3 linked regions of the Saccharomyces cerevisiae S288C genome follow. The gene in region 3 interacts genetically with the main gene of each other region. Each region holds a gene or a part of one and is shown on either strand. Other genes may lie near its edges.

Region 1 (4,863 bases), on a different chromosome or scaffold from region 3:
GCGAAATCTCACAAAAAAATGGCAGTAGTTTACAGAATGCTGACAAAATCAATAATGGCAATGATAACGATAATGATAATGATGTCGTTCCATCTAAGGAAGGCTCTTTACTAAGGTGTTCGGAAATTTGGGATAGAATAACAACACATCCGAAATACTCAGATATTGATGTCGATGGTTTATGTTCCGAGCTAATGGCAAAGGCAAAATGTTCAGAAAGAGGGGTTGTCATCAATGCAGAAGACGTTCAATTAGCTTTGAATAAGCATATGAACTAAAGCGGGAACTTTATGGAAAACTGGGTAACCGAAAGAACTTTTTCTATAATGTTACAATTAAACTTTTTTAACTTACCTTGCTTCGCCTTTTCGCCGAAAGTAGGTAGATTGTATCACCTCGGTATTTTTTTATGTACACAACCTATACTTTAAATATATTTAGACTATGTATGAATTCTCTGTATCACCTTCAATGTCAATATAGAAACTGGTAAGTGCAATAGTACCAATAATGATTATAATTATAATACAAGTATATATATATATCTATATATAGTGGTAAAGTATTCTTTACATGATGGCACAACGCTGAGATTTATCCGTACCTGCAGAACCACTGTTTTTATGATTCTTAAACCTATTCATCTGGAATTTCCAACGCTTTCTATCCTTGTTAGTGGCATGAGTAGGGTTATCTATGCCGCTTAAAGACTTTAGTAATGTAGGTAAAGGCAAACTTTTGGACCTTTCCACGGCACTCATAGCATTGATGGAACTCTTTATCTTTTTCAACTCATTTTTGGAATTACTTTCATTGTTACCCTTGGAATTAGGTTTGTGAGAATTTTTTGTCTTCAAAGAATGGCTAAAATTCGAGGAAGTCGTATTAGAGTTCGACAGTTGTGTCATTGGATGAGGTTCACTTGATAAAACTGTACTTTCACCTGTTTTAGAGTTATCCAACTCGTTACTATTACTTTTATCGATTTTTGTAACAGAATTATGTCTATTGAATGCCCATTCCCCGATACTGTTTACGGTTCTAATAGAACGATGTGCTGTAGTAACGTTAGATTCCATTCTAGTTGGTATGTACATTTGTGGGCCTGACTGTTCTGATAAAGAAGCATCGTCACCATCGTCTTCATCGTCTTCATCGTCAATATAGTCGTTGTAACCGTTATTATATGCAGTCGGGAAATATTGTTGCGGGTCGTTAGTTAATGATAACTCAGAATCTAGAGGTTGCTCTTTTGATATTCCTTCCCTATTATCATAATTGGGATTTTTGAATTCTTCTTCAACCTGTTTGCCGGAGTTTGTCACAATAACCATTGTGTAAAATAAAATTTTTGGAAATGATCTCTTGATATCTAGCAAATCTTGAAGTGTTAGAATTTGTAAATTATTCATTGAAAAATTGGAATCATACAGCAACCAATCATCGGTAACGCTTGCCATTGTAGGTTTATTGTTTGACTGTCTAATCGCAGTAAAAATTTCTTTGGTGTCTGGATCCTGAATTAATATAGATTGCAAAACTAGCCTAAAATACCCTAGAGAATCACAAATTGAGATTGACGGTAGAATGGATAGTACTGAGTAATCGGAAGAAGAAAGATCTTCATCATCATAAACCTCTTCTCCATCGTCCTCTCCTGATCCATACCCTTGGGCGTCATAGTTATGATGAATTAAATTATCCTCCTCCTCTGGGGTTGTCGAAGTAGTTAAATTGTCTATAGAACTCGTTATACTTGACAATTCAGAGACATAGGTGGCATTCGTGTGATCGATGTTTTCACGTTTTGGATTACCTCGGCTGCTACTGCTTAAACTGTAGTGGGCACTACTACTATTACTGCTACTACTATAGCTAGTGTAGCTGACCGAACTTTCCATGCTATAACTTGCTTGATCGATACTCTCGTCACCTAGATCATGTGAGACTCTGCTATAATGATCCTCAACTTCATCCTGACCACTTTCATCCTCGCGCCTGGCAGTAGTTAAACTCAGGTCTTGTCCGGGATATGTGGATGATACGTCTTCGCCAGCAAAACTATCTATTGACATTATCTCGGAATGTGACGGTGTATAGTCTTCATTAGTGTATGATGGAAAAATTTTGGGTAGTCTATTAGGCTTTGAATCTACTGTTCGCGAATGAGAAAAATTTAGGACTATAGAACTTGTGGCATCCTCTTCATCAACTTCGTTTTCATTATCTTGAGGCGTATCATTATTATTGCTTTGACTATTCACGGATGTAACGTTTATATCAACTGTGTCCGGAGATGTCAAAGTCCTCGTATTCGTATTAGTTCGGGTAGCTGTTGAAGTCTGGGTATTTATATTTGACCACTGATCATCCGAAACGTTTGATTCTAGCTTCCCGTTTGAAGCTTTTGATGAAGATATTGTGGGTGGTGGTATTGAATTTCTATTGTTATTGTTTAAAGCCTTGGAATTTTTTTGAACTTGCCAACTTGTACTCGCAAATTCTAAAAAGGTAGGGTCTTGGAAATTGTTGAGGTTGTCCGTCAATAGGTAATGATTTTCATGATTGTAGCAGTGGGAGTGAGTTAATTTTGAGATTTGAATGTGTTCTAATTTTTCCAGATGAAAGTAATCTTTGAGGAAGATTTCCAATATGGAGATATCTTCATGAACATTCTCTGGGATGGAAACTAACAAAATCTTCTTGTTTGGCCTGGCCGAAATATTGTTATCACCATAAAAATGACTATTCAGAAATCTTTTTAACAGAGTGTATTTTAATTGATTGCCTATAAGTTCTTCAAAATCGCCTAATCTGAGGTTTGTTAAGTACCACGACCACAAACCATTGTCATCATTGTCAAAATAGTCGCCCACTCTAACGGATTTTTGCATTATATTTAAGTAACAGAGTGCTTTTTGATGGTTTTTGTTAACCGTCTTTCGAGCAGTTGAAGGATGAGAGTGAGTGTTAATGAGGGGTTATTTCTGCAAAACTTCTGCCGATATATTCTGCACTTAGTTCCCGCTGTTGTTCAGCCTTCACGTTCCTTAGCTACACAAGTCAGTTAAATCTGGTCCTGCCAAAGTGAATAAGTTGAAGATATTTATCTAGCTTGCGATGGAAAAAACTACAATAGGAAAAAAACTAATTAAAAAAAGAAAAAAAAAGAGAAGAATTCAATGTTTAGGGATATAAATTCGATATAAAGGTTTAAAGTAAATAAATTTCGTGTATTACTATGCAAGTAATGTTTCTGCCTGCACCGGCTTCGTAGCTGGTGGAGTGCGATAGCGATGATACTACCTGAAAACACAGAGGAAGGCCGTCAGCCCCGCGCTAGGAACGATGAGGAGAAACCAGTTGGCGAATCGCCACATGCCATTTACGTAAAAGATGCTGTGTAACCTAACAGAAATAATCGATGGTGTGAACTAAAGTCCTAGGATGCACATAAGCAAGCGAAAAAGTGAAAACAACATTTCCAGAGCTAAAAAAATGCATTTGCCGATCCGAAATAATCTCAAAACGAAAAAATGATTATGGACGTAAACAAAATTACCGCATTTCGCTCTCCTATTATCATAACAAGCATGAGCGCAAAACTTAAAAATCCATCAAGAGGCAAAAAATAACGACAACTGCAGGACTCGAACCTGCGCGGGCAAAGCCCAAAAGATTTCTAATCTTTCGCCTTAACCACTCGGCCAAGTTGCCATACTAACTTGATTATTTGTGTATTCTGTTTTCTTGTGATTCCTTCTGGTTACATAATTACATTGTCTATATTCATATTTGATTCTAACAGCAGGTAATATTGGTCTATCGGCTACTCGTTCAAAAAATTAAAATCGTTATCAATTATATTCCATAGTATAGGTTGTTAAAAGATGGAATTAATTAAAGTAGAGTAGTAGAACAGGGATCACAGTGTTATTAGATTTTGGAGCAACTGATGTGTGTGAGTAATATATAAGGATGAATCGAATGAAAGTATTATGAGAAAAGGAATCATCGTTGTGTAAAGTTGTTCATTTCGTATTTCTGGGTACTGTGAATGAGATGAACTTGCTGATAATCGTTGGCATACTATTATTTGGAACGGTAATATTTTTGCGAATACAAAGTATACTGTAGTTTTTCCCCGAGGATTTACGAACCCACGAGAAGTGATCAATATTTCTACACAGTAGCATTATGATCTCTCTTTATTCGCTTATGTGTCGCCATTCACTACCCTATCATAATTCGGATCCTTGTGTTTCAGCTCCCATTAAGTTTGACGACCGTTCGTCATTTATTTATATTCTTACACCGTACACGATAATATACTTATGCGAACTCTAGTCGGTCGATGGTGATTAATTTTCATTTCAATATTTACTTATATCGGCGATAAGTCTTAAGCATGGAATTTATAGTCATTCTGTCACCCCTCCGAAACAGAAATGAATTTGTAAATGTATTCACTAAGTTTAGCCGTTTTAGACATTTGAATGTCGTTCGTCATCAGCGCGGCCAATATTGTTTACATGAAGAAAATGTTGTTAATATAGGCACTCTATTTGGTTTCATTATGAGAAGTATCTTGCTGCTTGATGTCTTCGCACTTTTTTTTTCCAGATTTTTCAGGTGATGAGGTGGAGCTGGAGGATTTTACAATATTACTCAAATAATTTGTAGACAACGTTAGCGTGAATGAGTGACGAAACCATGCCTGTAGAATTTTTAGTTAGTGATAAAAGACTGTTGAAAACCATAAAAGTTAAACTGGAAACCAACGGCCTTTTTGTTACTCCTATCTATTCCGATAATGATAACAAAGTTATAAAATCTTCTATTGAGGATCTCAATCATCCATTG
Region 2 (3,337 bases), on a different chromosome or scaffold from region 3:
ATGCTTGACAAAGACTTATTCTCATGCCTTTCGGTAATACCGGCTGTAGGGCTTCCTTCTTCCTTCTTCCTTCTTCTTATATCATTGAATGTTCCTGACATTTATGTGACTGTTCAAACTGTATGCCTCTGCGTTTCCTTATGTATATGTAAGTGTATGTGTAAATGGAAATGAGATGATAGTAAACCTCCTTAATGGAACAAACGTGATCTGGGATAAACAGGAAAAAAAAAAAACTTTGGCGGAAGTGTAGTGAAAGATCCAAGCCTGATAGACCACTGTCGTGCTTGGTTAAGTACAGAAATGCGGTGGAAGTACTGGTCTGCTTTGAGGAATAAGTTTCCAAATTCAGTCTTCTCTTTTTCTAGCCTTCCCATTACGTCAATGCTGACTGAATCTATCAATTGAATAAAAAACGCACATCATAAGCCTTTGTCGGCCCGTAACTTAGTTGCCTGCAGAGAACAAAGTACAGAAAAACTTCTTGCTCTGATTACCAGTTACAATAACGACTAACTAATATTTAAATAAAATGTACATCTATCTACTCTTTCAATCTTTCCGTCTTGTTATATATCGAAACCACGGTCTCTTAGTTGATGAACGGTCCAGATCCAAGTCGATGCCGCTTCGTCGACATTGTTAGAAACGTAGCTCGATTTAGATTCTTTACCCCCCGTGGTGAAGTACTTCCCGTTATCTTTTTCGACAGATAAATTCGGGTCCAATGCACACTTCAAAGAAGCTAGTGAACCTTGTTCGTTCGATACGCCGAAAAAGAACCCTACGACCTGGAACAACAGCCAAAAGAAAATACCGACGATGGGTAACCTTGTCCAATAACTGAATAAGTTTGTGTTCATCACCAGACCCGGATGAACGGAGAGACAAAGAACGTCAGGGTATTTGATGGCCAACATCTTCGTGCATTGGATTAGCGCGGTTTTACTCATCGCGTACCTAAACCATGTGAAAAGCATATTAGGTTTGTAATCCCACGTCTTGCTCAGTTTCCAGTACATGAACTCTAGATGATGGCCTATCGAGGACAGGGAAATGATCCTGCCACGACAATGGCGCAGTAAAGGCAATAATCTCATCGTGAAGATGAAGTGCGAAATGTAGTTAGTCTGCAATTGCACTTCAAATCCGTCCTTCGTCATTTCTAAGGGCACCGCCATAATCCCTGCATTGTTAACAAGCACGTCTATGTGGTCTTCCAGCTTGAGAATTTTAAGTGCCGCTCTCTCCACACATTTTAAGTCTGTCAAATCCAAATGGATATAGTGCAGTGACCCTAGACGCTGAATGCTTGGACCTGGGCCCGCGCCTGGGCTTGAACCGTCGTCATCTTCATGGCACCTCTTCTTTGCTTCTGCCAGTATCTCCTGGATTGCTTTCGAAATCTTGTGAGAGTTTCTCCCACAAATATAAACGACAAACCCATGCAAATACAAATGCAAGACAGTATACCACCCAATACCCGTATTTCCGCCTGTTACTACAGCAATCTTCCTCTCCACAGCCGGGTCGTAGTATGGCAATATTCGTGGGTCTAACATTCTGCCTTTGGCGTATGTCTCGTACTGCGGATGCCTCTAATACCAATCAGGCCTACAACCATTGTCTTCCCCGTTTCTACAAAGACAATAGTGTGTGTGCATTGTAAGTGATGCATCATGCACCATAATGATTTGTTTATATATACCCATGTACACTTGGGTCTCATTTCCTCAATTTTTTCATATCTTACCCGCATATCTTTTCTTTCAATGCCCTACTTCTATACTTCAGGGTTTTCCAAAAAAAAACAGTGATTAAGCAGGGCGGCATTTTCTTTATCTTGGGGCTTAGAAGACGCGAAAGACCTGTGGCTCAATACCTTTTTCGGAATATGTCAACAACACGAAACGCCAAAATTCTTGGCCCTGATTCAGGTACCGCGGGGGCCACGAATTTTGGCGTTCTGTGCAGGAATGACGTCTCTGCCGATTATGAAACTAAACAAGGTATGCTATCGGAGGTGGTCTGAGTTACTCGACAGATTTTTCTGACGAGAGTGAGTGTCGTTCGAGATATTTAAGCTCCAAAATATTTCCCTCACCTAGCTTACATTTTGGTTTATTCTTTCTTACCTCTACCTTTCTAAGTTTTTCTCTTCTGCTTCCTTTTCTTTTCACTTGGCATATTTTATCTATAAAAAAGTTTTGCAAGCGTTTAAGCAACTAGTTTAGCACAACATCCAACCAAGAGGTTTCTCGCGTATTTCTCTCATTTTTTTACCCATTTTACAAATTTTTTTTGCTATTTGAGCCATAGTACCCATTAATAGGTCTCGTCCATTCCCTTGTTTTTTTTTTATTGTTTCAATTACACTACATAATTAAAAATCACATCACTTTCACTCTCACCTTAGTCGTTCTTTATCAACCAAAAATAAAAAAATGCTTCAATCCGTTGTCTTTTTCGCTCTTTTAACCTTCGCAAGTTCTGTGTCAGCGATTTATTCAAACAATACTGTTTCTACAACTACCACTTTAGCGCCCAGCTACTCCTTGGTGCCCCAAGAGACTACCATATCGTACGCCGACGACACCACTACCTTTTTTGTCACCTCAACGGTCTACTCCACGAGCTGGTTCACCTCAACTTCAGCCACCATTACCAATGCGGCCTCCTCCTCCTTGTCCACCTCTTCGGCCTCTGGATCTGTAACCCCAGAATCCACCCATGAAATTACCTCCACCTCGACTATCACGTCCACTTTGCTGCTAACCCTTCATGACTCCACTACTTTGTCTCCATCATCTACTGCAGCAAGTGTCAGTGACGAAGATTCAAACAACAAAGATGCAAAGGTCAAGTCCTTTGAACAGGCTTCAACTTCCAATGGTTGCGTCCCAATCACAAAGTTTGTCACTGTCACCAATGAGCCCGTTACCCAGTACGTTACAGTCACCCCAAATACGACTACACAATACGTTACTGTCACCGGTGCACCTTCTGTTACCACTACCTCTCCAGGTAACGTACAATGGTACAACACCACTTCGATTACTAATTCGACCAGTTGGTGAATTATGAGTTCAAACGTGTCCTTTTAAGTTCTTTTTGTTTCTTTTTTGTATCTGTATTGACAATTTCACCTTCTGTAACTCTATCCTTCTGCTACCTAAATACATCAGTTTAAGTTCCAACTGGTATTTATTTTTCACTATCATTTTTCTCTCGTTTATATATATATACATGGACATTTGTTTGTTAATAGAAAAAAAAAAATAAAATAAAAAGACACTTCACCTAATTTGCTTTATTTTCTAAGTGCAGCTATAAATCA
Region 3 (3,978 bases):
TTCGTTTTTCTGGAACGGCTGGAAACAACTAGATATTGTTTCACCATTTTTTATAACTTCCACATAACTTACTAAGACCATATGCAAAATCAAGCAAAATGGAACGTTAGTCTACTGAATGTAACATAGTAAAATTATGGCATGGGGGGATGAGCATTCGCATAATCCCTTTTTTAAACATTTGTTAATTGTGTAGAAATATTTATACATACCATTAAAGCGTTTCATTTGGTAAAAATATAAAAGTCCAATGCTCTAACAGCTTAATAAATTGTCGCTTTTCACTCTGTTCTTCAAATTTAATAGCTGTTGCTCCAACTTAGTCAAGTGCTAGAAAATTCATAGAGGGGCTTTTTTTCATCATTATTGTGACCTCATTTTTTCTTTCTTCGATCGTTTGAGGCGAATATTACCCGGGCGCTTGGTGGTAATGCGTTGTTTTAAATATTATATATAATGAATGTGGTGGTAGAATATATAGTTTACTATTTTTAGATAATGCAAATGGGTGGGGTGAAGGCGATGAAAAGGTGGGGGGTCTATCAGAGAAACCTGCTGTCACACCAGCCCTTTACGACATATTGAATCTCTCTCGTAGGTGCGGAAGTCTTATTGGTGACTTTGCCTAAATTTAGTTTTCCGCATGGTTTGAGCATTGTGCCGCCATTGTTGAACCATGGCTTGACGTCTGAGTGTACGCGGACCAAAGAACTTTTCAAATCCGCCGTTGCATGTTCGCTTGCGGATTCACGGCCTTGCGAAGGTTCCGTATTGCTTGTCGTTGCAACAAAGTGCAAATTCCAGGGGGTAGAATCGCCAAAAAGATCATTTCTTGTTTCATGGACCATGTCAGACCATAATTTTTTCCTAGTAATTAGGGCAAGCTTAATATCGTTCGTAGAGACATTTGGCTCCTTTTTGATTTCCAAAGACCGAATTTCGGAATACGTTAGCTGCTTCAACAGATGGTCATCTACTTCGACTTCGGGTAAAATACTCTTCCTTTTACATGATGTTTCAATAGAGTATAACTTTAGGAAATTGGTATTCAAACTTTTTTGTCTTATTCTTTTATTGGGCAAGAGCTCGCTAGATGCAATCGAACCGTCGGTCTCGGGCGATGGTGATGCAGATGGCCATTGTTCTAATTCTACCAGGTCATTTTCGTAAATCATGTTTTCTGTAGTCGATTTGCTCCTACTCTTCCTTCTTGAAGTCTTGCCGCCTTTCTTGTCGATGATTTGGAAGTCCACAGAGGTCGGACGAAGTTTGGCATCGGACGACGCAGAAACCAGTGAAAGGGCAGAGGACGATCGCGGACGCCGTTCGTATACGGGAGGAAAGATATCGACTAAATCCTTAACCTCCCAGTCGTCGAACAAATCGAGATCATTTATGTTTATTATTTTCATTTTGGGCACGACCGGCTCAGCCAGTACCTCATCGCCAATCGCGGGGGTCTGCAAATCGACAGCGTCAGCAATATCATCTGTCAAGGGATGAAGTTTAGAGGAGCTCAATGAAGAACAGTCGCTTTGAGCTTCCTCGGAGAACTTCCTCTTTATGCTCTGTGTTAAGTGGCCCTCATGTATGGGGCATTCGCCCGATAACGTCTTGGCGGAATTTGTTTTCCTAACTTGCGACATGACCGAGCTTAAGGACGGGGTCATCAAAGATGAGCGATTTTCGTTCAGCAGTTCGGAATCGTCTCGAGCCTTCAGTATTCTAGTCCTCTTGAAGCTATTCCTCTTGGTTAGTGTTCTAGTACGTTCAGCGCTTCCTTGACCATCGAACTGCGGCTTAGTGGAGTGGAAATAAATCTCATCGCTCACCGTCCTATTACTTGTGGCGGTCTTGTTCATGCTGGCGCTGGCTAACTTGTTATTCTTCTTATTAGTAGCGGTAGCGTAAAATGACTTGGGATAAAATACCTTTGATGAGTCGCTCCATGAGTGCAATGCGCCATCATCACGTATGCTTTTGATGAGGCAATGTTCATGCACATGAGCATCGTGCATTAGTGTGTGATTTGTGTTCACGTCCAGCAGCATTCTATAATTATGTCTTGTTGAAAGTGTTCTGTATGTTCGTGTCTATCCAAAGAAACAAGTAATTGAGAAAACTAGCCATCAAATACTTGTGAAGAAGCGAGTTTCCATTCTCTGTTTCACTCGTTTGGCGTTCTCACCATCCCACTTTTATTTCATTGGCTTTTTTAACACAATAAGGCGCCTTCAGCACCTTTGCCGCGCATTAAGGATGGCCACTGACGAAAAACCGGATAAAAAAAGACGAAAAAATGCCGTCTGACCCTAGTCAGGAGCCGCCTCATACACCCTAATTATTTTGGCGCTAAGCCCTAAGCATCATTATTACCCGACATGAAGCGACAGAAGCCCTACGGATGTGCGGCTGGAAAAGAAAGTTTCATGAAGAACCAGTTGATATATATTTTACTATATACTTTTGCTGTGTATTTCTATATGAGGCTAGTTGGTTGGTGGGAACTGGAAGTGAAAGTTCTGTTCTTTAGGGTGCAGCGGTTGCTGTTGCTGTTGCTGTTGCTGTTGCTGCTGTGGTTGGATTGATGCTTGTGATGTTTGTGGTGCCTGTGGTGCTTGTGGTACAGTTTTGCTGCCAGTTTGCTGCGAGTATGTAATTATGGGGTGAGCGGCATTTACATTAGGTGCTGGATTGATGGCTGGATTTGTTTTTTCGTAAGCGGCGATACTAGGCGTTGTGCTACTTGACATGTTTGCAAATGCATTATTAAACACTGGAGGTGAGACAGACTCGGTTAGTTCCCTTTTCTTTGCAAGCTCTTCGAGCCTTTTCTTTTCTTCCTTCATTTTTTTTCTTCTTTCACGGTCTTCCTGTTGTTTTCTTTGTTTGGCCCTTATTATTTTCAATTCAGGCACAAAAATGTTGCGCAGCTCAAGTTCCAAGTCCCTGATGCACCAAGCGCAGATAAAAGTGGAGCATTCAGACAGCGGTTTGCGTTTATCAGTAGGTCTTGAAGACTTGGTGCTGGGTTCAAGTGTGGATTGGGGTCTGCGAGAAGACCTTCTATTGCCGTGCGAATTTCCCATTATGATGACGCCAAAATCACGTTGCGACAGCGTGTGCTGTGGGGATTTTGTGGTTGAAGATATAAGCTCTATAATTTTTGGAGGTTGGCATTCCCAATGCTGCCACCTGTAACAATGATCACAGCATATCAATGGGCGGTTATTGAAGAGGTCAGTCTCCGTGTCTTCGGTGATAATCATGGGCGCCAGCTCTGGTTCGCCCGGACATTGGAAAACAGAATCTTGGTTGTCGGGCTCTTGCTGCGGAGTAAAGATCCCGTAGTTGGCAAGCTCATCTAGCTCTTCCTTTGTTATGCAGAAGTCACTAGGCAATTCAGGGACGTCTCCCGTCTGTAGTGGCCCAACAGTTCCAGGAATTGGTGGTTCCACCGGGATTATACTAGATTGAAAGTTAGGGCCGTGATCAAGAACTCCGATATCGATTTCATTTAAGGGATTGTCCTCCTCCCTGCCCAAAGACGTTTCAAAAAACGGTGTACCAGAACCACTTCTATCTTTGAGCTCGTTACGCCTGGTCAATTTTTCATCTCTATAATCTTGATCGTACAATTGCCACAATTGGTTCCAAAGAAGATCTTTTATCTTTTTGATTTCCTTCGACACTAGCTTGTTTCTGTGCCTTATAAATTGTTCTCTTTCATCTAGTTTTTCAAACCACTCACTTTCCAAGTCTTTTTTCTTGTTTTCTTCCTCTTTCGCTACCAGTCTCGAAGATCTTTTCCTCCTTGTCATTAGCTCCGCAATTGCTCTCTCCTTTTCTCTGTTGGCCAAAAGTTTTGCCGAATATAGTCTATGTTCGGCATACACCGGTATTAAGTTAGTTATGAACTCATCTATGGCTTTCGAACTTTTATTCTCTGACCAGTATTCTAGCATGGACCCCCAATTA

Evidence for each region. Genes that interact genetically often act in the same process or in processes that back each other up.
Region 1: of GIS3 (region 3) and GIS4, extra expression of one rescues a mutant of the other (dosage rescue), as found in Saccharomyces cerevisiae (one study listed by BioGRID).
Region 2: mutations in GIS3 (region 3) and ENV9 together harm fitness more than expected from each alone (negative genetic interaction), as found in Saccharomyces cerevisiae (2 studies listed by BioGRID).

What each region holds. Positions count from the first base shown.
Region 1 is NC_001145.3:255,523-260,385, forward strand, and holds GIS4 (Gis4p), read right to left. Parts: upstream 2,895-4,863; coding exon 570-2,894; downstream 1-569. Other genes in the region: DNA-binding transcription factor YAP1, read left to right, coding at 1-278; TRM12 (tRNA(Phe) (4-demethylwyosine(37)-C(7)) aminocarboxypropyltransferase), read left to right, coding at 4,699-4,863.
Region 2 is NC_001147.6:795,232-798,568, forward strand, and holds ENV9 (Env9p), read right to left. Parts: upstream 1,563-3,337; coding exon 570-1,562; downstream 1-569. Other genes in the region: DGA1 (diacylglycerol O-acyltransferase), read right to left, coding at 1-101; SRL1 (Srl1p), read left to right, coding at 2,445-3,077.
Region 3 is NC_001144.5:327,188-331,165, forward strand, and holds GIS3 (Gis3p), read right to left. Parts: upstream 2,052-3,978; coding exon 543-2,051; downstream 1-542. Other genes in the region: NYV1 (Nyv1p), read right to left, coding at 1-71, 213-228; IOC2 (Ioc2p), read right to left, coding at 2,490-3,978.